Saccharomyces cerevisiae S288C: one gene and its partners. Changing the gene in region 2 together with the main gene of any one other region gives a genetic interaction. Each region holds a gene or a part of one and is shown on either strand. Other genes may lie near its edges.

The links.
Region 1: mutations in GRX5 (region 2) and PHO5 together harm fitness less than expected from each alone (positive genetic interaction), as found in Saccharomyces cerevisiae (one large-scale study listed by BioGRID).
Region 3: mutations in GRX5 (region 2) and HXT11 together harm fitness less than expected from each alone (positive genetic interaction), as found in Saccharomyces cerevisiae (one large-scale study listed by BioGRID).

Annotation. Positions count from the first base shown.
Region 1 is NC_001134.8:427,042-432,713, reverse strand, and holds PHO5 (acid phosphatase PHO5), read left to right. Parts: upstream 1-1,762; coding exon 1,763-3,166; downstream 3,167-5,672. Other genes in the region: PBY1 (putative tubulin tyrosine ligase), read right to left, coding at 1-678; acid phosphatase PHO3, read left to right, coding at 3,613-5,016; TIM12 (Tim12p), read left to right, coding at 5,230-5,559; YBR090C (uncharacterized protein), read left to right, coding at 5,656-5,672. UniProt on the Saccharomyces cerevisiae protein: Partially mediates extracellular nucleotide derived phosphate hydrolysis along with NPP1 and NPP2.
Region 2 is NC_001148.4:440,793-448,052, reverse strand, and holds GRX5 (monothiol glutaredoxin GRX5), read right to left. Parts: upstream 3,475-7,260; coding exon 3,022-3,474; downstream 1-3,021. Other genes in the region: ATP-binding cassette multidrug transporter PDR12, read left to right, coding at 1-2,211. UniProt on the Saccharomyces cerevisiae protein: Monothiol glutaredoxin involved in mitochondrial iron-sulfur (Fe/S) cluster transfer. Receives 2Fe/2S clusters from scaffold protein ISU1 and mediates their transfer to apoproteins, to the 4Fe/FS cluster biosynthesis machinery, or export from mitochondrion.
Region 3 is NC_001147.6:23,664-29,482, forward strand, and holds HXT11 (hexose transporter HXT11), read left to right. Parts: upstream 1-1,609; coding exon 1,610-3,313; downstream 3,314-5,819. Other genes in the region: oligo-1,6-glucosidase IMA2, read right to left, coding at 1-631; YOL155W-A (uncharacterized protein), read left to right, coding at 3,421-3,555; HPF1 (mannoprotein), read right to left, coding at 5,040-5,819. UniProt on the Saccharomyces cerevisiae protein: Probable glucose transporter.

The DNA.
Region 1 (5,672 bases), on a different chromosome or scaffold from region 2:
AACCTTTGTATCATCACTTAAACTCTCCACTAAAGGAATATTGATACTATATAGATCTGTTTTTGGGTCCCAATTCTTAACAAGATGTTTGATAACATCTAAAGATCTCTTAGAGGCCTTCTCCATTAAAAGTGGGGAGACGTTTTTCAATCCATTAAAATAGGCCCAAGAAATAGCAATGGCCTTTGTATTTCCAGTAATAACAGATTCCATTGCGCCTCCTACGGTACCAGAAGAGGTAATATAAGCAGCAGATGTATTTCTACCAACATTTGGACCCGACAGTACTAGATCAAACGGTTCATTAGACAATAGGTGCAGCCCGATGTTTGCGCACGATGCTGGAGTTCCATCGATTAATATCCACTCAATTGTATCTTTCGGAATTTCAGCATTGAGAACATAAGGTAATTTAGAGTTTTCTGACCTAATTTGTGGCTGGATAAATGGGCCCCAAAAAGTATTGTCTTCAGCGTCAACTTTAGAATATATGAATTGAGCTGTCAAATTTTTACCAGCAAGATGAGCCTTACCCACCCATGATTTCTGGACATGAGGTACACAAACCGTGATTTTCCATTCAGGATAATTTCTTTTAATGTGCTGAATAAAAGGTCTAATGTATGGTGAAAACTGATCACTTAAGGGACCATCATCGTTAGTTATTAAAACCCGCATCTTAAAAGAAATATTTATTGTTTCCGAATTTTTAATGTCAGAGATCAAGTCAGAGCGGCTGCCTTTACCGTAATTTTCAATTGCTAAATACAATGTTCCTTGGTTATCCCATCGCCAATAATTTTTATTTTTACCACTGTTGAAGAAGCGAAAGAAAAAAAAAGGGAAAATCAAAACATTCCCTGTGCACTAATAGAAGAAAACAAGAGACTCCGTCCCTCTTTAGTGAGAAAATTGACCAGAGATGGTTTTTGTCCATCTTTTCGCAAAAAATTAGTTCTATTTTTTACACATCGGACTGATAAGTTACTACTGCACATTGGCATTAGCTAGGAGGGCATCCAAGTAATAATTGCGAGAAACGTGACCCAACTTTGTTGTAGGTCCGCTCCTTCTAATAATCGCTTGTATCTCTACATATGTTCTATTTACTGACCGAAAGTAGCTCGCTACAATAATAATGTTGACCTGATGTCAGTCCCCACGCTAATAGCGGCGTGTCGCACGCTCTCTTTACAGGACGCCGGAGACCGGCATTACAAGGATCCGAAAGTTGTATTCAACAAGAATGCGCAAATATGTCAACGTATTTGGAAGTCATCTTATGTGCGCTGCTTTAATGTTTTCTCATGTAAGCGGACGTCGTCTATAAACTTCAAACGAAGGTAAAAGGTTCATAGCGCTTTTTCTTTGTCTGCACAAAGAAATATATATTAAATTAGCACGTTTTCGCATAGAACGCAACTGCACAATGCCAAAAAAAGTAAAAGTGATTAAAAGAGTTAATTGAATAGGCAATCTCTAAATGAATCGATACAACCTTGGCACTCACACGTGGGACTAGCACAGACTAAATTTATGATTCTGGTCCCTGTTTTCGAAGAGATCGCACATGCCAAATTATCAAATTGGTCACCTTACTTGGCAAGGCATATACCCATTTGGGATAAGGGTAAACATCTTTGAATTGTCGAAATGAAACGTATATAAGCGCTGATGTTTTGCTAAGTCGAGGTTAGTATGGCTTCATCTCTCATGAGAATAAGAACAACAACAAATAGAGCAAGCAAATTCGAGATTACCAATGTTTAAATCTGTTGTTTATTCAATTTTAGCCGCTTCTTTGGCCAATGCAGGTACCATTCCCTTAGGCAAACTAGCCGATGTCGACAAGATTGGTACCCAAAAAGATATCTTCCCATTTTTGGGTGGTGCCGGACCATACTACTCTTTCCCTGGCGACTATGGTATTTCTCGTGATTTGCCTGAAGGTTGTGAAATGAAGCAACTGCAAATGGTTGGTAGACATGGTGAAAGATACCCTACTGTCAGTCTGGCTAAGACTATCAAGAGTACATGGTATAAGTTGAGCAATTACACTCGTCAATTCAACGGCTCATTGTCATTCTTGAACGATGATTACGAGTTTTTCATCCGTGATGACGATGATTTGGAAATGGAAACCACTTTTGCCAACTCGGACGATGTTTTGAACCCATACACTGGTGAAATGAACGCCAAGAGACATGCTCGTGACTTCTTGGCTCAATACGGTTACATGGTCGAAAACCAAACCAGTTTCGCCGTTTTTACCTCTAATTCTAAGAGATGTCATGACACTGCTCAATATTTCATTGATGGTTTAGGTGACCAATTCAACATCACCTTGCAGACTGTCAGTGAAGCTGAATCCGCTGGTGCCAACACTTTGAGTGCTTGTAACTCATGTCCTGCTTGGGACTACGATGCCAATGATGACATTGTAAATGAATACGACACAACCTACTTGGATGACATTGCCAAGAGATTGAACAAGGAAAACAAGGGTTTGAACTTGACCTCAACTGACGCTAGTACTTTATTCTCGTGGTGTGCATTTGAAGTGAACGCTAAAGGTTACAGTGATGTCTGTGATATTTTCACCAAGGATGAATTAGTCCATTACTCCTACTACCAAGACTTGCACACTTATTACCATGAGGGTCCAGGTTACGACATTATCAAGTCTGTCGGTTCCAACTTGTTCAATGCCTCAGTCAAATTATTAAAGCAAAGTGAGATTCAAGACCAAAAGGTTTGGTTGAGTTTTACCCACGATACCGATATCCTAAACTTTTTGACCACCGCTGGTATAATTGACGACAAAAACAACTTAACTGCCGAATACGTTCCATTCATGGGCAACACTTTCCACAGATCCTGGTACGTTCCTCAAGGTGCTCGTGTCTACACCGAAAAATTCCAATGTTCTAACGACACCTACGTCAGATACGTCATTAACGATGCTGTTGTTCCAATTGAAACCTGTTCCACTGGTCCAGGGTTCTCTTGTGAAATCAATGACTTCTACGACTATGCTGAAAAGAGAGTAGCCGGTACTGACTTCCTAAAGGTCTGTAACGTCAGCAGCGTCAGTAACTCTACTGAATTGACCTTCTACTGGGACTGGAACACTACTCATTACAACGCCAGTCTATTGAGACAATAGTTTTGTATAACTAAATAATATTGGAAACTAAATACGAATACCCAAATTTTTTATCTAAATTTTGCCGAAAGATTAAAATCTGCAGAGATATCCGAAACAGGTAAATGGATGTTTCAATCCCTGTAGTCAGTCAGGAACCCATATTATATTACAGTATTAGTCGCCGCTTAGGCACGCCTTTAATTAGCAAAATCAAACCTTAAGTGCATATGCCGTATAAGGGAAACTCAAAGAACTGGCATCGCAAAAATGAAAAAAAGGAAGAGTGAAAAAAAAAAAATTCAAAAGAAATTTACTAAATAATACCAGTTTGGGAAATAGTAAACAGCTTTGAGTAGTCCTATGCAACATATATAAGTGCTTAAATTTGCTGGATGGAAGTCAATTATGCCTTGATTATCATAAAAAAAATACTACAGTAAAGAAAGGGCCATTCCAAATTACCTATGTTTAAGTCTGTTGTTTATTCGGTTCTAGCCGCTGCTTTAGTTAATGCAGGTACAATTCCCCTCGGAGAGTTAGCCGATGTTGCCAAAATTGGCACTCAGGAAGACATATTCCCATTCCTGGGTGGTGCCGGGCCATACTTCTCTTTCCCTGGCGACTATGGTATTTCTCGTGACTTGCCTGAAGGTTGTGAAATGAAACAATTGCAAATGCTTGCCAGACATGGTGAAAGATACCCAACTTACAGTAAAGGTGCTACCATCATGAAAACATGGTATAAGTTGAGCAATTACACACGTCAATTCAACGGCTCATTGTCATTCTTGAACGATGATTACGAGTTTTTCATCCGTGATGACGATGATTTGGAAATGGAAACCACTTTTGCCAACTCAGACAATGTTTTGAATCCATACACTGGTGAGATGGATGCTAAGAGACATGCTCGTGAGTTTTTAGCGCAATATGGCTACATGTTCGAAAATCAAACCAGTTTCCCAATTTTCGCCGCTAGTTCTGAAAGGGTTCATGACACTGCTCAATATTTCATTGATGGTTTAGGTGACCAATTCAACATCTCCTTGCAGACTGTCAGTGAAGCCATGTCCGCCGGCGCAAACACTTTGAGTGCTGGTAATGCGTGCCCAGGATGGGATGAAGATGCTAACGATGACATTTTGGACAAATACGATACCACATACTTGGATGACATTGCCAAGAGATTAAACAAAGAAAACAAGGGTTTGAATTTGACCTCAAAGGACGCCAACACTTTGTTTGCATGGTGTGCATACGAATTGAACGCTAGAGGCTACAGTGATGTTTGTGATATCTTCACCGAAGATGAATTGGTACGTTACTCATACGGCCAGGACCTGGTATCGTTTTACCAGGATGGACCAGGTTATGATATGATCAGATCCGTCGGTGCCAACTTGTTTAACGCTACTTTGAAGTTGTTAAAGCAAAGTGAAACTCAAGACTTAAAAGTCTGGTTGAGTTTTACCCACGATACCGATATCCTAAACTATTTGACCACCGCTGGTATAATTGACGACAAAAACAACTTAACTGCCGAATACGTTCCATTCATGGGCAACACCTTCCATAAGTCCTGGTACGTTCCTCAAGGTGCTCGTGTCTACACCGAAAAATTCCAATGTTCTAACGACACCTACGTCAGATACGTCATTAACGATGCTGTCGTTCCAATTGAAACCTGTTCCACCGGCCCAGGGTTCTCTTGTGAAATCAATGATTTCTACGACTATGCTGAAAAGAGAGTAGCTGGTACTGACTTCCTAAAGGTCTGTAACGTCAGCAGTGTCAGTAACGTCACCGAATTGACCTTCTACTGGGACTGGAATACTACTCACTACAACGATACCCTATTAAAACAATAAATTGTATAAATAAATAATATTGCAAATATAAATAAATACCCATCGATTCTGATCTTCTTTTATGTACTAGTAGGGTAACGAGTTTGTAGATTAGCGGCAGAATGAAAAGAAAAAAGTTAACTAAAAAGTAAGAACAGCAAAGTTGATTGTAGTCTATATTGCTGAAATAGATATCGGAGCTCCCGTATAATATTAAAGTGCACCAAGAAAAGGATGTCGTTCTTTTTAAATAGTCTAAGGGGCAACCAGGAGGTCTCGCAAGAGAAGCTAGACGTTGCAGGAGTGCAATTCGATGCGATGTGCTCGACTTTCAACAATATTCTCAGTACGTGTCTTGAGAAATGTATTCCGCATGAGGGCTTTGGTGAGCCTGATCTAACGAAAGGTGAGCAATGCTGCATAGACAGATGTGTGGCAAAGATGCATTACAGCAATCGCCTCATTGGAGGATTTGTACAAACACGAGGTTTCGGGCCAGAGAATCAGCTACGACATTATTCGCGATTTGTGGCCAAAGAAATAGCTGATGATTCCAAAAAATAGCTGTAAATATGAGGACTGTCTGTGCTGTTTGTATATAATAGTAACCTGCATATATAGCATTATAAGCTGTGTAGACAATTTTAGAAGTACATTTATATGGTACCCGCACCTGG
Region 2 (7,260 bases):
ATTGTGTTCAATGTCATCTTATCAGAATATTTGAAACCTGTTGAGGGAGGAGGTGACTTGCTGTTATATAAGAGAGGTCATATGCCGGAGTTAGGTACCGAAAATGCAGATGCAAGAACCGCTTCCAGAGAGGAAATGATGGAGGCTCTGAATGGTCCAAATGTCGATTTAGAAAAGGTCATTGCAGAAAAGGACGTTTTCACCTGGAACCATCTGGACTACACCATTCCATACGACGGAGCTACAAGAAAATTATTATCGGATGTCTTTGGTTACGTTAAGCCTGGTAAGATGACCGCCTTGATGGGTGAATCCGGTGCTGGTAAAACTACCTTGTTAAATGTTTTAGCACAAAGAATCAATATGGGTGTCATCACTGGTGATATGTTAGTCAATGCCAAGCCCTTGCCTGCTTCTTTCAACAGATCATGTGGTTATGTTGCGCAAGCCGATAATCATATGGCCGAATTATCTGTTAGGGAATCCCTGAGATTTGCAGCCGAGTTAAGACAGCAAAGTTCCGTTCCGTTAGAGGAGAAATATGAATATGTTGAAAAAATTATCACATTGCTAGGTATGCAAAATTACGCTGAAGCCTTAGTTGGTAAGACTGGTAGAGGTTTGAACGTTGAACAGAGAAAGAAGTTATCTATTGGTGTTGAACTGGTTGCTAAACCATCATTATTATTGTTTTTGGATGAGCCTACCTCTGGTCTGGACTCTCAGTCTGCTTGGTCAATTGTTCAATTCATGAGAGCCTTAGCTGATTCTGGTCAATCCATTTTGTGTACGATTCATCAACCCTCTGCTACCTTGTTTGAACAGTTTGACAGATTGTTGTTGTTAAAGAAAGGTGGTAAGATGGTTTACTTTGGTGACATTGGTCCAAATTCTGAAACTTTGTTGAAGTATTTTGAACGTCAATCTGGTATGAAGTGTGGTGTTTCTGAAAATCCAGCTGAATATATTTTGAATTGTATTGGTGCCGGTGCCACTGCTAGTGTTAACTCTGATTGGCACGACTTATGGCTTGCTTCCCCAGAATGTGCCGCTGCAAGGGCTGAAGTTGAAGAATTACATCGTACTTTACCTGGTAGAGCAGTTAATGATGATCCTGAGTTAGCTACAAGATTTGCTGCCAGTTACATGACTCAAATCAAATGTGTTTTACGTAGAACAGCTCTTCAATTTTGGAGATCGCCTGTCTATATCAGGGCCAAATTCTTTGAATGTGTCGCATGTGCTTTGTTCGTCGGTTTATCATATGTTGGTGTAAATCACTCTGTTGGTGGTGCCATTGAGGCCTTTTCGTCTATTTTCATGCTATTATTGATTGCTCTGGCTATGATCAATCAACTGCACGTCTTCGCTTATGATAGTAGGGAATTATATGAGGTTAGAGAAGCCGCTTCTAACACTTTCCATTGGAGTGTCTTGTTATTATGTCATGCTGCTGTTGAAAACTTTTGGTCCACACTTTGTCAGTTTATGTGTTTCATTTGCTACTACTGGCCAGCTCAATTCAGTGGACGTGCATCTCATGCAGGTTTCTTCTTCTTCTTCTATGTTTTAATTTTCCCATTATATTTTGTCACATATGGTCTATGGATCCTGTACATGTCTCCTGATGTTCCCTCAGCTTCTATGATTAATTCCAATTTGTTTGCTGCTATGTTACTGTTCTGTGGTATTTTACAACCAAGAGAGAAAATGCCTGCCTTCTGGAGAAGATTGATGTATAATGTATCACCATTTACCTACGTGGTTCAAGCTTTGGTTACACCATTAGTTCACAATAAAAAGGTCGTTTGTAATCCTCATGAATACAACATCATGGACCCACCAAGCGGAAAAACTTGTGGTGAGTTTTTATCTACCTATATGGACAATAATACCGGTTATTTGGTAAATCCAACTGCCACCGAAAACTGTCAATATTGCCCATACACTGTTCAAGATCAAGTTGTGGCTAAATACAATGTCAAATGGGATCACAGATGGAGAAACTTTGGTTTCATGTGGGCTTATATTTGCTTCAATATTGCCGCTATGTTGATTTGTTACTATGTTGTAAGAGTTAAGGTGTGGTCTTTGAAGTCTGTTTTGAATTTCAAGAAATGGTTTAATGGGCCAAGAAAGGAAAGACATGAAAAAGATACCAACATTTTCCAAACAGTTCCAGGTGACGAAAATAAAATCACGAAGAAATAAACAAGCAAGCAAATATATTTGTATTTCGTGGTTTAACACACAATTTTTATTTTCAATTTTTTTTCACAAATTTTGGCGTCCTTTAACATCATTTTTTTAATTTTACATTTGATTTTACTTTCTATTATTATTTTCCGAAAATTTCACACTAATGTTTTATGTATAGAATCAATATAATTATTTAATATATTAATTATTAATACCATTTAAAAGAAAAGAATTTCATTTCTATCCCACTCGTGAGTAATGGCTTAAAGGCACAATTGTGTGTTCATTATATCCCTATCACCTTCAAAAGGAAGTTTGATCCTTTGACTAACATATTTGAAAGCTTCGCAGGGCAATAAAATTGAGCTCGCCTATTATCTTCCAATCCTTTTACGTTAAAAAAAATGGGGGAAAAGCAAACTGGTAACAGTACGGAATCTATCGAAAATCAAGAGAGTAACAAAGACAACCCCAACAAATGTCTGTCGCGTCTTTCGCACGTTGAATCAGAACGAAGATATGGCTTCTGTCATTCTAAAACTAACGTTTTTTGATTCAAGTCTATGCGGGGAATATTAAATATATTCATAATTCTCACTTCTTTGTTTTATAACGTCAATTCATTTGGCAAAGCAAAGAGAGGGGTTTGTAAGTAGAGAATCTGTTATTTACAAGTCTAAAGGCATGAGAATACATTACAAATCTTTAAAAAAATAGCAAATGTACATGCATATATAAATATGGATCGTAAAGGCCTATTATGCACACGAGTATTAAAGTGTTCGGCCACCAGTTCCTATTTTGCTTCCAGTGGTAACAAAATCAACGATCTTTGGTTTCTTCTTCTTCTTCAGGTACCAATGCCTGTGCCTCTTCTAGCAAATCGGCCAATTCACCAGAGCGTGCCATACTTGTAATAACATCACATCCACCAATGAATTCTTTGTTTACATATAACTGTGGAATAGTTGGCCATTCTGAAAACTCTTTGATACCTTCACGTAGCTCTGGGTCTTCTAAAACATTATAAGCCGCAAATTTGGCCGGGTCAACGCCTTGATTTCCTAATAATCCAATGGTTGCTCTTGAAAATCCACACTTGGGAAATTCAGGAGTACCTTTCATGAAAAGAACCACTGGAGCCGATTCGATGGCATCTTCAATAGCTTTTCTTATCTCTGTGCTCAAATACATCCGATTTTGGTAACGAAGAAGAGTCTTAGCCCGGAGGATGGGGGAAAATGACCTTATGGGATTGAATTTTGGGAGAAACATTGTCTGATTTCCTCAAATTTTTGCTAAAGTCAAAAAGTAAACAGATACCTTTGTGGCCTTGATATATGTGAAAAGAGTAATACAACTTCTTGTCCCTTTGGGACTAGAACGCATTTGTCATCAATACTTTATACCTTTACTTCCTAGAAGTGATTTATTTTGGTCGGGTAACGTTTTTCCAATAAGCTCAGATCAGTGCCAAATACCGGTTTAGACTCTTTACGGCACTAGTTATGCTTTATTGAATAAATTAAGCTCTGTATACTAAATTTAGAATCTCATGATTCCGTATGTAGTAAATTAACAGTTTGTACTATATTATAAAGAAGAATGAATGCATTGAACTTTTTGATCACAAGAAAAGTTGGCGTAGCAATACAACATACCTACTGTTCTCTCTTTGTTCGTGGTACCTTAATTAGTATTGTCGTAAGAAAATCTAAATGTCTTCTTTGGGCTAACTTATGATTTGCATACTTCTACAGTCGTCATAATGGACACCTTGTAATAAAAAGTGATGTGGTTCTCATCTGTTATAATAAATGGCTATGTGCGGCATTCGATGTCGTTTGAGATATTGACTACTAATGTATATTGAGATAAATCTGGCTGTTACCACAATTTGTCATTAGGTAGAAACGATAGCGCATGCTTAAAATAATTATGGATAGAAAACAGCAGTCGCGCTGTATGTAGAAAATATAAAACACATAAGTGATTCAGATCAGAACCCTCCTAAATCCCTAAAATATAGAAGTTCATTACATGGCAGTGATATATTAGAGGTTACCATCCTTTCTTAATATTGATAAGGCTACTAAATTAAGTGTTACTGGAACCTAGTTTCGCTTAATTCCTTTAGCTTTTGCATTCTATTTTTTCTTTTAATCAATCACTAATGAAGAAGCCTTAAGTCAGATAATGCCGTATCTAAGTATTCCTTTTGTAATAGCTCAATTTGTTAAAATACTCGTTCTCCTTGTGTTCTAGTGCATCAATTATCCATAATAATAAGCATATACTCGTACTGAATTATTCAATGGCCTAAATGGCAAGCACTAGCTTGCTCGAAGTTACTAACTGAACTATAAAACATTTTACTCTTTCAATTACTTTTAATTGAATCTTAAGCAGAATCAAAACTGCTTATGACTGCCATATGCTCAATGCGATGGCTCATATTTTCCATTTACATGAACCCCAGTTTATGTTCAAGTAGTATATGTTCTTAATTCAACGCAAACTGCTGATTTCACCATTGAATATTGTTTATATATGATATATACCGTCAAATTACTTCACGACAGTGTGAACTGTGATAAATCACTTGTTCCAACAAAATCCAGTACATTGGGTATTCGATCGCAGGCAATTATATTAATCGGGTATGCTAATATGGATTAGAGCCGTAGAAGCAGAACAAGGAGAATTACTTAATATTTGAAGTTCATTTAATATTCTTTGATTGTTGGAACGAGAGTAATTAATAGTGACATGAGTTGCTATGGTAACAATCTAATGCTTACATCGTATATTAATGTACAACTCGTATACGTTTAAGTGTGATTGCGCCTATTGCAGAAGGAATGTTAAACGAGAAGCTCAGACAATACTGAAGCTGTGTTAAAGACCTATTAGTTGAACATGATATGGTAGGTACATATATGAGGAATATGAGTCGTCACATCAATGTATAGTAACTACCGGAACCACTATTATATTGGTCATGATTAATATGACCAATCGGCGTGTGTTTTATATACCTCTCTTATTTAGTATAAGAAGATCAGTACTCACTTCTTCATTAATACTAATTTTTTACCTCTAATTATCAACATGGCGACCCCAGTGAGGGATGAAACAAGAAATGTTATTGACGACAACATTTCTGCGCGGATTCAATCGAAAGTCAAAACAAATGATACTGTCAGACAGACGCCATCATCATTAAGAAAAGTTTCTATTAAAGATGAACAGGTGAAACAATATCAAAGAAACTTAAATAGGTTTAAAACCATACTAAATGGTTTAAAGGCAGAAGAGGAAAAACTTTCTGAGACTGATGATATTCAGATGCTAGCTGAAAAATTATTAAAACTCGGAGAAACCATTGACAAGGTTGAGAATAGGATTGTGGATCTAGTTGAAAAGATACAATTATTGGAAACAAACGAGAACAATAATATATTACATGAACATATAGATGCTACAGGGACTTACTATTTATTCGATACGTTAACTTCAACCAACAAAAGATTCTACCCTAAGGATTGTGTTTTTGATTATAGGACTAATAATGTCGAGAACATTCCTATTCTCTTAAACAATTTTAAAAAATTCATCAAGAAATATCAATTTGATGATGTCTTTGAAAATGATATCATAGAAATCGATCCTCGTGAAAATGAAATCTTGTGCAAGATAATCAAAGAAGGACTCGGTGAAAGTTTAGATATCATGAACACAAATACAACTGACATTTTTAGGATAATCGATGGTTTAAAAAACAAATATAGAAGTTTACATGGTAGAGATGTCAGAATTAGAGCCTGGGAAAAGGTTTTGGTTGATACAACATGTAGAAATTCCGCATTGTTAATGAATAAACTTCAAAAGTTGGTACTAATGGAAAAATGGATTTTTTCTAAATGCTGCCAAGATTGTCCTAATCTAAAGGATTACCTACAAGAAGCTATCATGGGAACCTTACATGAATCCTTAAGAAATTCTGTGAAACAACGTTTGTACAACATTCCACATAACGTAGGAATTAATCACGAAGAATTTCTAATCAATACTGTTATTGAAACAGTAATTGATTTGAGCCCAATTGCAGACGATCAAATAGAAAATAGCTGCATGTATTGCAAATCTGTTTTCCATTGCTCAATTAACTGCAAAAAGAAACCAAATAGGGAACTTAGGCCTGACTCGACCAATTTCTCAAAAACCTATTATCTACAAGGTGCACAGAGACAACAACAACTTAAGTCCAGTGCAAAAGAACAAAAGTCTTGGAACAAGACACAAAAAAAGTCAAACAAAGTGTACAACAGCAAAAAACTGGTAATTATTGATACCGGTTCCGGCGTAAACATTACCAATGACAAAACCTTACTGCATAATTACGAAGACAGTAATCGCAGTACACGATTTTTTGGTATTGGGAAAAACAGTTCAGTGTCTGTTAAAGGGTATGGCTATATAAAAATCAAGAATGGTCACAACAATACTGACAATAAGTGTTTATTGACTTACTATGTACCGGAAGAAGAATCCACTATAATCAGCTGTTATGACTTAGCCAAGAAAACCAAAATGGTTTTAAGTCGAAAATATACCAGATTGGGAAACAAAATCATAAAAATTAAAACCAAGATAGTTAATGGTGTCATTCACGTAAAAATGAACGAGTTAATTGAACGTCCTTCCGATGATTCAAAAATAAATGCAATAAAACCTACTTCTTCTCCTGGATTTAAACTAAATAAAAGGTCTATTACCTTGGAAGATGCTCATAAAAGAATGGGCCATACAGGAATTCAACAAATTGAAAATTCCATAAAACATAATCATTATGAAGAATCCCTTGACTTAATCAAAGAACCAAATGAATTTTGGTGTCAAACCTGTAAAATCTCTAAAGCCACGAAAAGAAATCATTATACCGGGTCTATGAATAATCATAGTACTGATCATGAACCAGGATCATCATGGTGCATGGATATATTTGGCCCTGTATCAAGTTCAAACGCGGACACTAAAAGGTACATGCTTATTATGGTG
Region 3 (5,819 bases), on a different chromosome or scaffold from region 2:
CGTCTACACCATGGTCTAACCAGTATCCAACGGCACTTTCGTAGATTGCCTTTCTACAGTCCTCATTCTCCCAATTCAAATCAGGTTGGGTGGAGCAAAACAAACGCAAGTAAAACTCTTGTGTCTTTTCATCGAACGTCCATGCAGAACCACCGAAGTAAGACCTCCAATTGTTTGGAGGAATTGGCTTGCCTTCGGCGTCATAACCCTTAGGAGGTCTCCAGAAGAACCAGTCACGTTTTGGATTGGTTTTTGAGGATCTGCTCTCTTTGAACCATTCATGTTCGCTCGAGCAATGGTTGATGACTAAGTCGGTGATAAATTTCATACCAAGCTTATGTGTCTTTTCGATCAAGGCAAAGCAGTCCTCGTTCGTACCGTAGGTTGGCCAGACCTTTTCGTAGTTGGCAATATCGTAACCCATATCATCTTGTGGCGAGTCGTAGAATGGTGAGATCCAAATGGCATCGGCACCAAGCTCTTTGATATACTCCAACTTGGAGGCAATACCCTTCATATCACCCCACCCATCGTTGTTGGAGTCTTTGAAACTTGCGGGATAAATTTGATAGATTGTGGCCTCTTTCCACCACTTGGGTTCTGTTTCTGGATGTGCAGAAGAAATAGTCATTGTACGTTGCTTTCTTTTCTTTATGAAAAAACTTTCACTTTTGTTTGTGTGTTTGGACTGGTGAATGGAACATATATTCTAGTACAGCTAATTCCTCGAGTGAAGAAGTCTTTCTTACTTATATATGTCTTTTACGTGCCTATGGACGTCTTACGAATGATCGAAAATAAGAAAAGAACAAAGTAAATTTAGGATCTGGAAGGAGTGCTGTATGTAAACGAAGCTTTCAGTTTTAGGTAATGTTTGCACAACCTACATGATATAACATGGTATGTTCTGCAAGAGCGTGCCTGGCCCTTGGCCCGTTATAGCAGATCATACCATCTGCAAGCAGACCCCATTATTGCACTGCCTCCGCAATCTTGCGTATACGTAGTCCCACGACAAAGTACGAAGCGTAAACTGACCTTGTTCAGTTCCCCACAAAAATTACATAACCATTTCTCCGCGGAATTACATAATCATTTCTCCGCGAAAATTACATAATCATTTCTCCGTGCGAGTTATAAGTGCTTTTCTCGTGCATCCCTTGGCACTTCACAAAACCTTCTTTTTCTTTTTTTTCTTTATTTCAGGGGAAATCAGTGCAAAACTAAAAAAGAAAGAAATTTTGTGAAATGTAAACTCCAGGTGTCAAAAAATAAATTATATCCGTGGAAAATCAGGCGTCGGAAATTGTAGATGAAACCGCCTCCTCCACAATAAATGCTGACCACACGAACAATGCATACACTCGGACACCTTCGTTCAAAGTATCAGTAGCAGTTCGACACACCGTATACTACTTAGCTCTTAAGGTCTAGGCTCATCTTTCTCAGTTCCTCTTTTTCGCTAATTAAAGGTATATAATGTCACAGTTGTGTAACTAGAGAAGAGCACACTTGTTCCTATCTTTTTCTTCTTCTTTTTTTGGTATGAGTTGAAAAAAATAATCATTGCACAATTTAGTTCTAAACGCTTTTGTTATTACTCAATATCATGTCAGGTGTTAATAATACATCCGCAAATGAGTTATCTACTACCATGTCTAACTCTAACTCAGCAGTAGGCGCTCCCTCTGTTAAGACTGAACACGGTGACTCTAAAAATTCCCTTAACCTAGATGCCAATGAGCCACCTATTGACTTACCTCAAAAACCCCTCTCTGCGTATACCACCGTCGCAATCCTGTGTTTGATGATTGCATTTGGCGGCTTCATCTTTGGTTGGGATACCGGTACCATTTCTGGTTTTGTTAACCTTTCTGATTTCATCAGAAGGTTCGGTCAAAAAAATGACAAGGGAACCTACTACTTATCGAAAGTAAGAATGGGTTTGATCGTCTCAATATTCAACATTGGCTGCGCCATAGGCGGAATTGTCTTGTCAAAAGTCGGTGATATATATGGTCGTCGTATTGGATTGATTACAGTTACTGCCATTTACGTTGTAGGCATCCTAATCCAAATAACTTCCATAAACAAGTGGTACCAATACTTCATTGGAAGAATTATTTCTGGCCTAGGAGTGGGAGGCATTGCTGTCCTTTCCCCAATGTTGATATCTGAAGTTGCTCCCAAACATATCAGAGGAACTCTGGTCCAATTGTACCAGCTGATGGGTACGATGGGTATTTTTCTAGGATACTGTACCAATTACGGTACCAAGAACTATCACAACGCCACTCAATGGAGAGTCGGCCTTGGTCTTTGCTTTGCCTGGGCTACATTCATGGTTAGTGGAATGATGTTTGTACCAGAATCACCACGTTACCTGATTGAGGTTGGTAAAGATGAGGAAGCGAAACGTTCACTATCGAAATCCAACAAAGTCTCAGTTGACGATCCAGCCTTGCTAGTTGAATATGACACTATAAAGGCAGGAATTGAACTTGAAAAGCTGGCAGGTAACGCATCATGGTCTGAACTACTCTCCACTAAAACAAAGGTCTTTCAGCGTGTTCTCATGGGAGTGATGATCCAATCGCTGCAGCAATTAACCGGTGACAACTACTTCTTTTACTACGGTACCACCATCTTCAAATCTGTCGGTCTAAAGGACTCCTTTCAGACTTCGATCATTATCGGTGTGGTTAATTTTTTCTCTTCATTCATAGCGGTATACACCATTGAGAGGTTTGGACGCCGTACGTGTCTATTGTGGGGTGCTGCTTCTATGCTATGCTGCTTTGCTGTGTTTGCCTCCGTCGGTGTGACAAAGTTGTGGCCTCAAGGAAGCAGTCACCAAGACATTACTTCTCAGGGCGCCGGTAACTGTATGATTGTGTTTACTATGTTCTTCATTTTTTCGTTCGCCACCACTTGGGCAGGCGGCTGTTACGTTATTGTCTCAGAGACGTTTCCTCTTAGGGTCAAATCAAGAGGAATGGCAATCGCAACAGCTGCAAACTGGATGTGGGGTTTCCTGATTAGTTTCTTTACCCCATTCATTACCGGGGCAATCAACTTTTACTACGGTTACGTATTCTTAGGCTGTCTGGTTTTTGCATACTTTTATGTCTTTTTCTTTGTCCCAGAAACAAAAGGCCTGACACTGGAGGAGGTGAATACTATGTGGCTGGAAGGTGTGCCAGCATGGAAATCGGCCTCATGGGTGCCACCGGAGAGAAGAACCGCAGATTACGATGCTGATGCAATAGATCATGACAATAGACCAATTTACAAGAGGTTCTTTTCCAGCTGATCTTCTAGTTTTCGGTAAATTGGTAAAAAAGCAAAAAAAAAAATTGACGAAACTAATTCTCTATTATACATAATGTTTTTACTTTTGTACCCTTTAATTTCTAATGAATGTTTTATGGAAGCTTCAATAAATGCGTGACTGGCTATAGTTGTCGGATGGCAATCCATTATTATGTATACCGTATTATTAAGAGTGCAACTAGGCCCGACTATAAATCTAACACTCAGATCCTTGTACTGTAATGCATATTTATTTTTTCACAAGTTGCATGCTAATAATACCATGATATTTTTTGAAGCCTTGAAAAATAGTTCAAGCAGCTACGATATCATGAATCAATATACTCATTGCAGCCTATGTAATATATATAGGTTCCGTGTTACCACTCGTTTCTGATATTTTCGATATGGCTACACTGGGTTTTTCATGATGGAAATGTGATACTACCAGTTCCAATATATTTATCTTCCTTATCTATATGACACGCTGTTATTTTAGTTCAAGTCAGTGTCCAATTGGGGTGAGTGTCACGTGCACAACGACGGTAGTCGTTGGATGTGCTAAATGATGTTCTACTGCCAATGACTGCAAATACGTTCGAAGAGTATAAAATCGAAGGAAACGAATTAAGTTGCCAATCCTTACTGTAACTATAGCATGTTACATATATGTACCATAAGTATCACATTAAGGTTTCGCCATAGCCATGTGCCTATATTAAATAGAAATATCACATGGCGATCCACGGAATGTTTATAGATTTTCTTCTTTTGTCTATGGCCCGGGCGAGACATTAATTTATCTTGCTGAAAAATTCGAAAGTTAAAACTCAATTATGCGTGGGATTTCTCAATTAGGTTACCAGAATTTCAATCTGCTGAAGAATTATGTCTTAAAAAAAAAAGTCCCGCCTCAAAAAAGCCAAAAAGGGTGTGACTGTAGATTGTGGGTTACTTGCTGTCAAATGACATGAAAATCTCTGCCTGCATGATCCCTGTCAAAATTCGAAAACACGCGGTCATAAAATTGTGCCTCAAAAAGATATCTTTTCCTGCGGGTTCTCTTAGTAAATGAGGTTAGGTTGTTTCCTATTCTTACGAGATTTCCCTTGTTCTCGCCGCTCACATCATTGTCGGTAAGATCTTCCGTAGTGGCAGGTCAAGCAGTGAGGAAGAAAGATCGGCAGTAAACTGATAAGAGCCAAACCGAAAAGTTTCTTATACGCAAAAACGCTTTGAAAATTCTCCAAGAATCCTATTTGAAACTCTTATTAATAAATAAAGTATAAATATAATAAAGTTTATTGTGAGACATGTCGCGATAAGCACCCCTTGTCTTTCTTGGAAGGGAGAAATTTGTAATATAAAGCCAAGTGTTCAGAACTCGATTTTTTTCTGACCAAAGAGCGGAAGCTCCACTATAAAAGTTGGGAGGTACTTTTAGGTTCTCTTAAGTTCGCATTTAATTATGGCCTGAACGATTTTACTGTGGACAATAAGTGAAATAAGTGTCCTTAAAATGTGTACGATGTGTACACATCAACCTAGTCTCCCCTTCATTGGCAGAAGAGGGAACCATTTCATCCAAAAAGAATAAAAAAAATAAAAAAAATCCAAATATTAAGCTAAAAAAATACTTAACTGTTTACACAAAGCGTATATAAAACGCATATTAAGAACCTATCTCGTTTCAGAGGAATAAACTTTTAATTCCTCAGTTAAAAAAATTAGTTAAAGAAAGCAAGAACGAAAATACCGACCAATGCATTCAAAGTATTGGCATTCAAACCTGCGGCAATACCCTCGGACTGGACAATGATACCAGTAGAGGTCTTTATTGGAGCTGCAGATTTGGAGTATGTGGAAATTGCACTAGAAGCCTTGGAAATGGCAGTAGTCAATGAGGTTGCTTTAGAACCCTCAGAAGTGACAGTAGTGTATGACTTTGGAGAAGCACTAGTTGCGGTGACGGTTGAAGTAGCTTCAGGTATTTGAGAGGTGATTATCTTGACGTTACAACCATTGTCATCACATTGAGTAACAGTGGCAGTAGTGTATGTCTTAGGGGCAGCACTGGTTTCTGAAGTTTCTGAAGTTTCTTTAGGAGCTTCAGAAGTGACAGTCTTGGTGCTACATCCATTGTCATCGCACTGAGTAACAGTAGCGGTAGTGTATGTCTTTGGAGAAACAGTAGTGGTTGTGGCTTCAGGGGCCTCAGAGGTGACAGTCTTAGTGTTACAGCCGTTGTCGTCACAGTGAGTAACGGTAACAGTAGTGTATGATTTTGGAGAAGTAGTAGTTGCTGAAGTTTCTTCAGGACATTCAGAAGTGACAGTCTTGGTGTTACAGCCATTGTTGTCACAGTGGGTGACGGTAACAGTGGTGTATGATTTGGAAGAAACGGTTTCAGTGGCGACGGTACCGGTAGACGTAGTTACATGACATCCGGTCTCATCGCAAGAAGTGATAGTGGCGGTGGTAGATGAACATGGTACGGTTGTGGTAAT